3 linked regions of the Pelodiscus sinensis genome follow. The protein of the gene in region 1 interacts with the protein of each later gene in a biochemical or structural test. Links are inferred from orthologs where the notes say so. Each region holds a gene or a part of one and is shown on either strand. Other genes may lie near its edges.

Region 1 (3,745 bases):
GTGCAGAATTAGACACCAAAAATGATAATGGATTAGCAGGTGTTAAAAAGGCAGGGATAGTGCTAACGCTGGAAGTGAAGAGTGGACAATGAGAAAGCGACATAATTGAAGTACTTAAGAATTTAAACTGGGACTTGTTCTAAAATTAAGCTTACATCTAAGAATTTACACCATGCTCATAATTCAGAATATTTCATATGTTAATATAGGCCATAGTTTAACAATCTACTTGAAGTTTCCAGACAGACCAGAGCAAGTGGACATGAATATAAGAGAAAACAGAATTTTACAAGGCCGAGACTAACAGGTGGAATGGATTTTCAGTCAAAGTGCAGAGCCAAACAATGAACACAGGTTTAAGCAAAAATTGGATGACTATGAAAAGTATAAAATTCAAAGCATCGTCCATTCGGTTTGTACTCCACAGTGGCTGCTGTACTTCCCCATCCTCCAGTTGGTCCCGTTATTTTTGCTGGCTTATGAGAGTTTCTTTTGCCTGGAAATATCTGTCCTTCTCTGACTCAACATTTTTGAGTTTTTTTGTAAGCGCCATCAAACCGGCCCAGACACCCCAATGGGCTGTGCCGTACCCCACAGGGCTGCGGGGTGTTTTGACACTAGAGTTGTGTTTCTCACAGCAGGTCCCATTTGCTACCCGGCCCCGGGGACTTAGCAGACTCAGGCTGAAGAGGAGCGGCAGGCGAGAGCGAGGGGGCTGGAGGCGGGCGAGGAAACACGAGGGCGGGCACCCACTAGGGAAGGGAAGGCCAGTGGGGTCTGCACCGTCCTGCCCAACGGTCACCCCCCGCCCCCTTTCCATTCCACACGCGCCTAGGCCCCCGTTTCTGCCGGAGCGGAGCCCTAGCGCTGGCCCGGGCTTTGCCCAAGGGCGGAACGTTCAGAGGAGCCACGCGCCAGAGCTGGGCCACAGCCTACGGGGGGGGTGGGGGGGGTGGAGGAGGGAGCCGCGTCAGAGCCGGGGCACGTGGCAGGGCCCGCGTTCCAAGACAGCAGCTTTGACTTGCACCACTGCGCAAGCTCGAGCCGGATGTCGTTAGCGACGTCGGGGGGCGGAGGGGGAGAAGGGGCGGGGATTTGCTGGGACACTCGCTCCCGTTGCAAGGCACCAGGCGGGACTGCCCCTGTGCGGAGGTGGGGTGAAGCGGGAAACCCCTCACTCACCTGAGTCCCCCAGCACCAGCACCTTGACCCTGTCTAACGCAGCCATCTTACCCTGCCTAGCAACAGTCTCCCGGCACCGCCCCCTCGGACCACTCACTCATCCCATTGGCTGTCCCCTCACTTCCGCAAGCCTCTATGTTGCCGTCTTCGCTTTTGATTGGCAAATGTGGATCGAGGCGGGGCCTAGTGAGCTCTTCAGAGAACAATTGGTGCGCCTTCCTGTCAATGCTCATCGCAGCCGGAGATTGGGGAGCGTCGCCGCCTCCTATCCCCAACTGGGTTGGACCCAACAGGCTCGCGCCGTGGCGAGGGTGGGGGTGCCTCGTGTGTGCGTCACAAAGGTGCGCTGCTGCCGGGCTGGTGTGCGACGAGCGCTGCGTATGACGCGCCGTGACGCAGTTGCCGAAAGCGCCGCCCGGAGACGGAGCCAGTCCGGAGCGGCCGGCAGGCAGGTCAGTCCCGTGCTCTGGCGCGGGGGGCGGTTGCTGGTGCTGCCGCCGCCGCCGCTTTCCGTGCGCTGCAGCCGGGGCGACTCGCAGTGAAATCTTACCCCCCGTTTCCAGGGCCAGGCAGCGGCGGTTCGCTCCCCCCCCGCCCCCCCGCCCGAAGTAAGCCACGTTCTCTGGCTGTTGCAGCCGGACCGAGGCGCGCGGGGGGAGTTAAACGGCGCCGGGGCAGCCCCGCGAGACGCGCCACGTGCGTTGTGCGAAGCCGGCCGTGCGCCCCTCGGGGCAGCGCGCTTCGGGCCAGCGTCCTCGCAACCCCGAGCGCCTCCCTTTGGGCCCCATTGATGCTCCTTCTCAGGTCCAGAGGCTGGTCCTGAGAAGCGTCTGCTGGCGGGGGACCTCTGCCTGGCATCAGGCTCCCCCACCCCCCCCCCGCCAGCTCCTGACTATTCAGCGTGAGAGACGGATCGCTTTCTTCCCTCATCTTTCTGCTTTCCTAGTCGCTGCTTACACCTTGTTCTGCTAGCCAGCTTGCTGGGTAGTTCCAGGTCCAGAACTCAGGCGTTTTGCCTTAAGAATAAAGAATATTCAAAAGGAGATTTTGGGAAAAGTAATGGGGTGCAAGGAAATACATGGTTAGGTTAGAGGAATTATAGAAGGGGGATTTAGGCAGGCTGCTATAATAGATTTGGAGATTAAGTTTAGGAAAAGCACAGCTAATACAGTGGGAGGGGGAACCATCAGAAACAACACACACAATGGCTGTGTCTAAGAGACTGGCAAGTGTTTCCGGAAAATCAGCCGCTTTTCTGGAAAAACTTGCCAGCTGTCTACTCTGGCTGCTTGAATTTCTGGAAAAGCGCTGACGATCTCATGTAAGATCGTCAGTGCTTTTCCGGAAATACTATGCTGCTCCCGTTCGGGCAAAAGTCTTTTTCCGAAAGACTTTTTGCGCAAAAGGGCCGGTGTAGACAGCACAGGACTGTTTTCCGCAAAGAAGCCCCGATCGCGAAAATGGCTTTTGCGGAAAAGCGTCCTGCCAATCTAGACGTGCTTTTCCGAAAATGCTTTCAACGGAAAACTTTTCCGTTAAAAGCATTTTTGGAAAATCATGCCAGTGTAGACGTAGCCAATAGGTGGAAGGAATGCCATAAGAGACTGAGGTGGTGAGTAAATAGGTGGTCTCATATGAGACCAAGAGGTGGTGAGTGATAGAGGCTGTCTACACTGTAAGCTTTTGCTGCAGAAAATATACTAATGAGGGGTTCATTAATATGACTCAGGTTGTCGTTAGCATATTTTCTGTCTGTTGTTTTTGTGCAAAAAGAAGCAGCATAGCTGCTTCCATTTTGCGCAAAACCCCCTTTTTGCCTCAAAAAATCCTAATGCCTCAAAAAAGGTGTAACCAATCTTGCGCAAAAAGGGGTTCTTGCACAAAAAGGAAATCTCCACACTGCTGGTTTTTGTGCAAAAACTGATCAGAAGAGCGTATGCAAATGCAGTGCAAGAAAATGCAAATCTGCACTTCATTTGCAGTGCCTCTTCTGGCAACACTCATAGGCTATGTCTACGCTGGCGGGTTCTTGTGCCAGAAATATGCAAATGAGGCTACACGGCCCCTTGCGCAAGAAAAACCCTCTTGTGTAATGCCTCTACGCTGATTATTTTCAGGAATAACAGCATTGCACAAGAGGGTTTTTCTTGAGCAAGAAGGGGCAGTGTACATGCTCCTTCTGGTGCAAGAGCCTCTTCTGCAAAAATGGCGGCTCATTAGCTATATAGATGAGGCTTGGCGATATTCCAAGCTTAGCCTCATTTGCATATTTCTGGTGCAAGAACCCACCAGTGTAGACATAGCCAGAGTGCAGATGAGACATGAGTTTGCAGCTGCTGAAAAAATGCCTACCTCGGATACCAAATGACAGGACTTACCCTCCCACCTTTCTTGGGATACTTATTCCTATCCCACTTCAACTAACTAGTTCTCTGCTTTTGCGGAAAAACTTGCCAGCTGTCTACACTGGCCGCTTGAATTTCCGCAAGAACACTGACTATCTCATGTAAGATTGTCAGTGTTCTTGCGGAAATACTGTGCTGCTTCCATTCAGGCAAAAGCC
Region 2 (3,745 bases), on another chromosome or scaffold:
AGGTCCTAAAGGTGTCGGATTATCGGAAGTTTACTGTAATTTCCCCTAACATCCAACCTAGACCTCCCTTCATTGCAACTTGATAGAACAAAGAGCTTCTTCTATGGACTCATCTAATAGCCTGTCTCCATCCTCTTTGGAACCCTCCTCCACTTCAGTAGTTGAAGGCTATCAAATTTCCCCTCATTCTTCTCTTCTGCAGTCTAAATAAACTCAGGTCCCTCCACTTCTCCTCATAAGTCACGTGCCCTAGCCTCCTAATCATTTTTGTTACCCTTCCCTGGACTCTCTACAATTTGTCCACATCTTTTCTGTATCGTGTGTGTGCATGTGAGAGAACAGGATACAGAACTCCAGATGTGGCCTCCCCAGTGCCAAACGGAGGGGAATAATCACTTCTTGATCTGCTAGCAACGATCCTGCTAAGGATGTCGATGTGTACTCAAGTACACTGTTTACCAATATGCCTGGGCTCACTGGTTAGCCCACAGTTACACCCTTTCCCCCCCACCTCCGCTGTCTCTATCAGAGGCAGTGGAGGGGGAGGGATGGGAGATGGGAGTCGGTGTGTGTGCAGAGCTGGCTTTTAAGCTGGCTTACTGCAAGCACCAGCTCTCGAAGAGTCGTCTGCCCCCCTGTACTGCTGCCTCTAATACAGAGGCAGCAGCACGGGGTGGGGAGGGGGCAGGCAGGAGCCAGTACGCGGGGGGAGCCAACTTTTAAGCTGGATCCCTGTGAGCACTGGCTCCCTTCCCCACCTTCACCTCTGCGGGAGGCAGTAGTGGGAGGATCAGACAGATCCTTGGGAGCTGGCATGTGCGTGGAGCTGGCTTAAAAGTGACCTTAATAGGTAGCAGATGGCATAGTCTCACTAAATTTGTCTCTTTCATACCACGGAAACAAAACAAGGGAACAATAATATTACAACCTAAGTCATATGTCCAGAGTATAATTTAATTTAATGGACTGCAGTTGCCAACCCACAGCCTCTACACCTAGTCACACCTTCTCAATTTCCTCAGCCTCATTATAACAGAGGCTAGGATGGTCCTCAGCAGACACCTCAACCCTTGGCACAGGCCAGTCCCAGCCCACCCTCTTCCAAGTTGCAACTCCCACCTCTCATCCCATAGCACTGGCCAGCCCTGGCTCCCCTACCGCCACCCCAGACTAGCTAAGTTTCCCTTTATGTTGTGTAGCCAGATGGCCATGCAGCTGCCTACGAAGCCTTGTGGAGAGGCTCAGGACCACCACACAGAGTGCTGCCTCTGCCTGCTGGCCCCAGCACAATCCTGGAGTAGCTAGGACAAAAGCCCCTATCCTCACCAGTTCTAACACAGAGCTTCTGCAGAAGAGATACCAAGCCAGCTCTATGCCAGAGCCTGCAAGGAGGGGTCGAGCTCCCCTGACCACAGCAGTTCTATTTTGGGGCCTTTAAGGCACACCACTCCCTTGGCAACAGTGTCCATCCCACTCTGTTGGGGAATCAGGTGTCCCTTCCCAGATCCCAACCCAGAGCCTGGAACTCCCCCAGTTAGGGGACAGGTGTCCCTGCCCTCGCTGTGCCAGCTGGAGCTGCAACAGCCCTGGAGAGACACCTCTCGCCTGGACTCAGGCCGCTGCGGTGAGAGGGCTGAAAGTCTCCTCTCTCCCGAGAAGCCTGCGCCCTGAAACTCTCCTGCCCAGCCCCACTCCAGAGCCCACACGCCCAGCCAGTCTTCACCCCACATCCCCACCCTCCGCCCAGCACTCAGGCCCCTCTCACACCCACCCCGAGCCACACGCTGTCCGGCTGCGGATCGACTTCTGCTGCGATACAGCAGCTATGGGATTGGTGGATGTAACGGGAGTCACTCCCCACACGGACACCGCAGCCCGGCTTGGCCCGACCCCCTGCCCCGAGCCGAACCCCCCAACTGGCCAGCCCAGGCCCCTGTCCAGACACCCCCTCACAGGCCTCACCTGCCCCTCGCCCAAGAAATCGAGCTTCTCGTAGCGCTTCGCTCGCATCCTCGCGTCCATCACCAGCCGAGAAGAGGAACCGGACCGAGGGGATTTAAAACCGTCACTGCTTGAGCGCCGCTACTTCCGGCCCCCACGCGGAACCCCGCCCCGTTTCCGAGCTTCCGGCGCATGCGCCGTCCCAGCGGCTGCAATGAGGTGTTCTCGCGGCGCCAGCGTCCCGCTCTAGCAACAGTCACTAAGTAGCCCGCGTTTCTCGGCGGTCTTAGGTTCCGGCCCTCTCGGAGTCCGCCCCGGGTCAGACACCGGCCGCGAGCGGGGCAGGACGGGTCGCGCGGGGTCTTACTGAGCATGGCGGGGTGACCAGGGCACTGGACCATTGCGGCCCGTTGAGCAGCTCCGGGCGGGGAGCTTGCCTGAAGCCAGCCGAGCACGCATACAGCCCGGCCTCACCAGGCTCGCCGCTAGGGACGGGGGCGGTTCCCATAACGAGAGGCAGGGACACCAGCTTTGGGAAAAGGGGCGCTCGAGCCTGAATTCAACTCTCCCCGCCCCCTCGGACACTCACCAACACCTTCCCCTCTACCAGGTTGCCACTGAGACACAGCTGCAGGCCTCCCCTTTAATTTGTAGAGGTGTGAGCTCCTTTAAAAGTGCACTTCAGCGATATGGGCTGGGGGTGATAGGCATGGATCACAGTTGACAAGTCACAACCTCTTGCTCAAGCCTAGGTGGAGCCAAACCATTCCTGAAGAGTACTGCTATAAGATTATTCAACAGCAGAGGAGGTTAGAGGAATAAAATATTCAAAGTGATTTTTTTTGTTTTGCTTTATTGTCAGAATTTAGGAGTATGGTGGTCTAAAAGGCAGAATCCCATCACTTCATTATCTGGTTTTTTTAAAAAGCTCTCATCAAGCTCAGTATAACAGCACTTTATGATTAATATTCCAGCTCTCAAGTGGAATCATTTTCAGGAAAATTTGGACAGAGTATACTCCTTCGAGTTACTTTCATCCATGTTTCACATCCTGGCTACGACCTCCTACCAGTGCTAGTGGAATGTGCACTTGATTTAACAAGCCAGTTTATTAGAACTATACAATTAACTCTTGCAAGAAACTGCTCTTTTTATTGCATGCTCTGCATTTCAGCATGGTATTATCCCTTCTATGCAACCATTCAATTATACTGGAAGTAGCAGCCAACCTCCAGTTAGAACTGGTCATATTGACACATTAAATACACTTAAACATTATTTTAAAGCACTAATCCAGAAAAGCTCAGTGTGTGGATATACTTATTCTGGCCTAAGTGTTGAGAAGGGGAAGCTGTTCAAATTTCCTCAGGTAGACAAGAATTGAATTAAACTCTTTTATTCATCCATGTGTAAGTAATGCACAGTAATCATATGAACAAATTAATCTTTGTTTAATATACTCTTCAGTATGTTTTGGCATCCCCATTTTGTACTTTGGGAAAAGAACGGTTTGTGTTCCAGAGCTCATGACTAGTAATCAGGAGATCTGGTTTCTATATTTTTTGTTCTGACAGAAAAACTGGATTCTATGTTCCTTGTTCTGACAAACTTCCATGACCTTGAGCAAATCATTCATCCTTTGTGTGCTTCAACTCCCCTGTTCAGACAATTATTTCCAGATTTCCCCTTCCCCACCTTCCACGCAGAACCAAATCTTTACCTTGCTTTAAGTTATATGAGGAAGCTGCATACCAAATTTGGTGGTCCTAGCTCTTACCCTTTAGTTCTTGAACAAATGGAGGGA
Region 3 (3,745 bases), on another chromosome or scaffold:
GGGCATCTTTTCAGCCAGCAGCACTTTACCATCAAGGTCAGTTCCCAGGCAAAATGGCCCCAAATCTGCAAGGGTTTGTGCAAAGGGAGAATTTGTCCTGGTTTGGTCTAAAAACAATAAGCTAAAGGTTTGTGGATGGAAATTTTCAGCCTTTCATTATCAAAGGGAAGATTTGCTTTTGGAAGTTGGTCAAAGAGAAATTCTAGAGTTTGTGGGGAAAAGGAAACTGGGTTTTTGGGCATGTGCCATGCAACCTATGACATGCAAAGGGCTTGGAGAACCCAGGTGTTCAGGACACCAACTCCTCCCCTTCAATGCTCCCCGGCCCCATTTCCCTCCTAGAATCAGGGAGAGAACCCAGGAATCCCGGACCCTAGCACCTACACTTACAACATATTGTATTTGATGTGCCTCTTCTGATTGCCCCAGTTCCAGCACCTCCGAGGTACTTACATACTGCCAGGTGGTTAGCAGCTGCCCATGCAATGCCCCATGCCCTGTCCCCCACCCCCAGTTCCTATATAGCCCATATGGATCTGCTAGTGACGGCTGCCATTTCTACACTGAGGCTGTGTCCCCACCTCTGGCCTGGTTCTTTCAGCCCCATACAGACCACGTGGATATCTCAGGAGACCATGGCTCCCTTCCCCATCTTAGCTTGCAAAGCACAGCTGGCCTGAACCCCAGTCCCTAGCAGTTCCACTCACCTCCCCACACAGGCCATGGCCCCTTTAAGAGACGCGCCCCCATTACCTTCGCAGGGGGTGGCTCGCCTTTCCTCCTCCTCAGCTGCAGCCCCAGCAGGGGGAGCCGCGTAGCCCCGCACCAGTCCTAGGCTAAGGCTGCTAATAGCCGCGGTGGCCCTTTAAGGGGGGAAGGGGAGGGAGGGGATGAAGCATGAGCAGTAGGCGCCTCGCAGAGCGCAGCAAGCGGGAGAGCGACGCATGCGTGGGGATGTGGCGTGCCTCTAAAAAAAAAGGGATCTGGACTGCTCATGCGCGTCATCAACCAAAGGCTGGGGCGCTAGCGCGCATGTTTTCCGCACTTGGCCATGTTGCACATGCTTGGTAGAAAGGAATCCATGCGCGGCACGCAGGCGCCGTCCTAGCTGTGAGGCACCACGCACACAGGCACTGTCCTCCTCCCGCGCCCCATCCCGCGCCTGCGCAGTGCGTCCCTGCCCGCCTGCCGGTCTCCAGGGCTGGCCCCGCCCCTCGGAGGTGCTCGGGTCCTGGCAGGGGTGTAGCGCGGCACCGGGATCGGTGGGGGAATGTAGCGGGGGCGAGGAGGTTGCGCCGCAGCGCGGGCGTGCAGCTGCCGGGAGAGGGAGGGGCGCCGGCACGGTGGGGGGCGGGAGTTAGGGGAGGGGCTAGGGAAAGGGGCGGGGCCAGCCAGGTGGGGGATGGGGCCCTTGGGGTCCGGGCCGCGCAGTGGCGGGAGGTTCCGCCGCCCCGGCCCGTGTCTCACCCCCCTCCCCGCAGGTGCGGCGGGGCGCGATGGCGGCCGAGGAGAAGAAGGCGAAGCTGAGCCACACGCTGCTGCCGGCCGAGTCCATGAAGGTGATGGCAGAGGCCGTGGGCATCGCCCAGGTGCCCGAGGAGACCTGCCAGCTGCTGGCCGACGAGGTCAGCTACCGCGTCAAGGAGATCACCCAGGTACGGGCACCCCGTCCTCGGCAGAGGGGAGTGACCGGAACAGGGATCCCTCCCCGCTGCCCATTCCCAGCCTCTGACAGACTAGGATAGCCACTCCCACCCATCCTGGCTAATAGCTATTAATGGACAGAACCCCCGTGAACGTATCTAGCTCTCTTTTGAACCCAGTTAAAATCCTGGTCTTCACAACATCCTCCATCAAGGAGTTCCACAGGTTGGCTGTGTGACAAACTACTTCCTTTGGTTTGCTTTAATTCTGCTAACAATTGATTTCATTTGATGACCCCTAGTTCTTGTGCTATGGGAACAAGTAAATAATTTCCCTTATTTACTTTGTCCACACTGGTTGTGATTTTATACACGTCCATCATATCCCTCTTTAGTCTCCTCTTTTGTAAGGTGACATGCCCCAGTCTTATTAATCTTCCTCTGTCCACGGCATCTCCCCTTCCTTCCCTGGCATTGCCACATCCTCTCGGCTCCAGCAGATTGCCCATGTATGGGCAGGGGGTCCCACAGGCACTCTCTGCCCCTAGCATTGCCTCACTTCCCTGTCTTTGGAAGATCACCCAGCTGTGGGCCCCCGGACATTGTCCTGAGCAGTTGGTGGGTTATGGAAATCACACGGGTATACAGGGCCCCCAGCTGTCCCAAGACCCTCCCATCCAGTTTCTGGCCCGAGGAGAACCTCATGCACCCAATGCCTCCACCTCCCAGTTGCTCTGCTCCTGCCCTTGGTTGCCTGAGGGTCCTTGGAGCAGAGAGGGGTGAGACAACCCTCACTTCCCATTTGCCTGCAGGATGCTCTGAAGTTCATGCACATGGGCAAGCGTCGGAAGCTGACCACCAGCGACGTGGACTATGCCTTGAAACTGAAGAACGTGGAGGTAAAAGGGGCAGTCCCAGCCCCGAGGAGCTTGTGGGGCAGGCTCTTGGCTGGCATTGGAGTCCTGTGGGCTTGGGGGCCATCTGAGTAAGGCCATGTGCTTGGTGCTGGGGAGGGGAGGACAGTTCTGAAGTGCAGAGGGGCTTTTCATGGATTTCAAGGCCTGAATTCCTAGAACAGAGACTCCCCTGAGCTTTGGGGGGGGGAGGTTCCCCCTGCCGGTCACTATGGTAGGGCGCATGTAACATTCAGGGAGACAATTTCCAGCATAGGTATATGTTTTCCCAAGGACAAAATGGTGCTCCTCTCCCTGGTGCAGCAGGTGTGTATTGCACAAGGGACATGCCAAAAGGCAGGTAGAGCCACAGAGCCAGGCTGTATTTACTGTTGGGAGCCAGGCATGTATAGCACGGGGGCTGTGCCGAAAGGCAGGTAGAGCCATGGAGCTGAGCCAAGGGAAGGCTCTGACATGGGGACTCCAGCTCACCCTCTATGTCCCTCTCCCCACAGCCGCTGTATGGCTTTCATGCCCAGGAGTTCATCCCCTTCCGCTATGCCAGTGGGGGCGGGCGCGAGCTCTACTTCTATGAAGAGAAAGAAGTGGATCTGAGCGACATCATCAACACGCCACTGCCCCGTGTCCCGCTGGACGTGTGCCTCAAAGGTGGGGGCAACATGGGGCAGACAGGGATGAGGGGGCATGGAGAGCAAAGGATTATGTGGGGGCAAGGAACGGGAGGTGCAGCACCCAGCCTGCAGTGCTGCTTGCCCCTGATCCTTCTCTCCGCTCCCTTTCAGCTCACTGGCTCAGCATCGAAGGCACTCAGCCCGCCATCCCTGAGAATCCGCCCCCAGGTGAGTTGTGGAGCCAGGTGTCCAGGTGCAGTGCCCCACAGGGACTTGAGTTGTCTGCTTCCTGCGTGTCTGTTCTGTCTGGGCGCTTGGTCTGCAGAGCAGGGTGACTGACAAGCTTTTCCAAGTGCCATCTGCTGTGGTCCCCGAAACTAGAGACTGATCCAGCAGCCTGGTCAAAAGATAATGCATTTCCTACTGAGAAGTGCCCTTGATGTTGTCCTGTGTCCTGCCCTAGACATAGCTGCATTTCAGCATTGCATGTGGGGTCCCTATGTAACCAGCTGCCCCATTCCAGAGGTGTCTGCATTTCTGCGCTGAGCGAGGGGTCCTTGTGTAACCAGCCGCTCCA

The links.
Region 2: of the proteins of GTF2E1 (region 1) and CDK7, one has a biochemical effect on the other in vitro, tested with the Homo sapiens proteins (3 studies listed by BioGRID, with this or other methods). The link is inferred for Pelodiscus sinensis from reciprocal best matches to the Homo sapiens genes GTF2E1 and CDK7.
Region 3: the proteins of GTF2E1 (region 1) and TAF6 form a complex in vitro, tested with the Homo sapiens proteins (2 studies listed by BioGRID). The link is inferred for Pelodiscus sinensis from reciprocal best matches to the Homo sapiens genes GTF2E1 and TAF6.

Annotation. Positions count from the first base shown.
Region 1 is NC_134711.1:142,369,808-142,373,552, reverse strand, and holds the start of GTF2E1 (general transcription factor IIE subunit 1), read left to right. Parts: upstream 1-1,495; 5' UTR 1,496-1,634; intron 1,635-3,745. Other genes in the region: RABL3 (rab-like protein 3), read right to left, coding at 1,280-1,415.
Region 2 is NC_134716.1:88,002,616-88,006,360, forward strand, and holds the start of CDK7 (cyclin-dependent kinase 7), read right to left. Parts: upstream 2,123-3,745; 5' UTR 2,023-2,122; coding exon 1,963-2,022; intron 1-1,962. UniProt on the Homo sapiens protein: Serine/threonine kinase involved in cell cycle control and in RNA polymerase II-mediated RNA transcription. Cyclin-dependent kinases (CDKs) are activated by the binding to a cyclin and mediate the progression through the cell cycle.
Region 3 is NC_134734.1:7,580,354-7,584,098, forward strand, and holds the start of TAF6 (transcription initiation factor TFIID subunit 6), read left to right. Parts: upstream 1-1,090; 5' UTR 1,091-1,220; exon of another isoform or gene 1,221-1,262; intron 1,263-1,366; exon of another isoform or gene 1,367-1,481; 5' UTR 1,482-1,496; coding exon 1,497-1,655; intron 1,656-2,455; coding exon 2,456-2,542; intron 2,543-3,051; coding exon 3,052-3,205; intron 3,206-3,339; coding exon 3,340-3,396; intron 3,397-3,745. UniProt on the Homo sapiens protein: The TFIID basal transcription factor complex plays a major role in the initiation of RNA polymerase II (Pol II)-dependent transcription.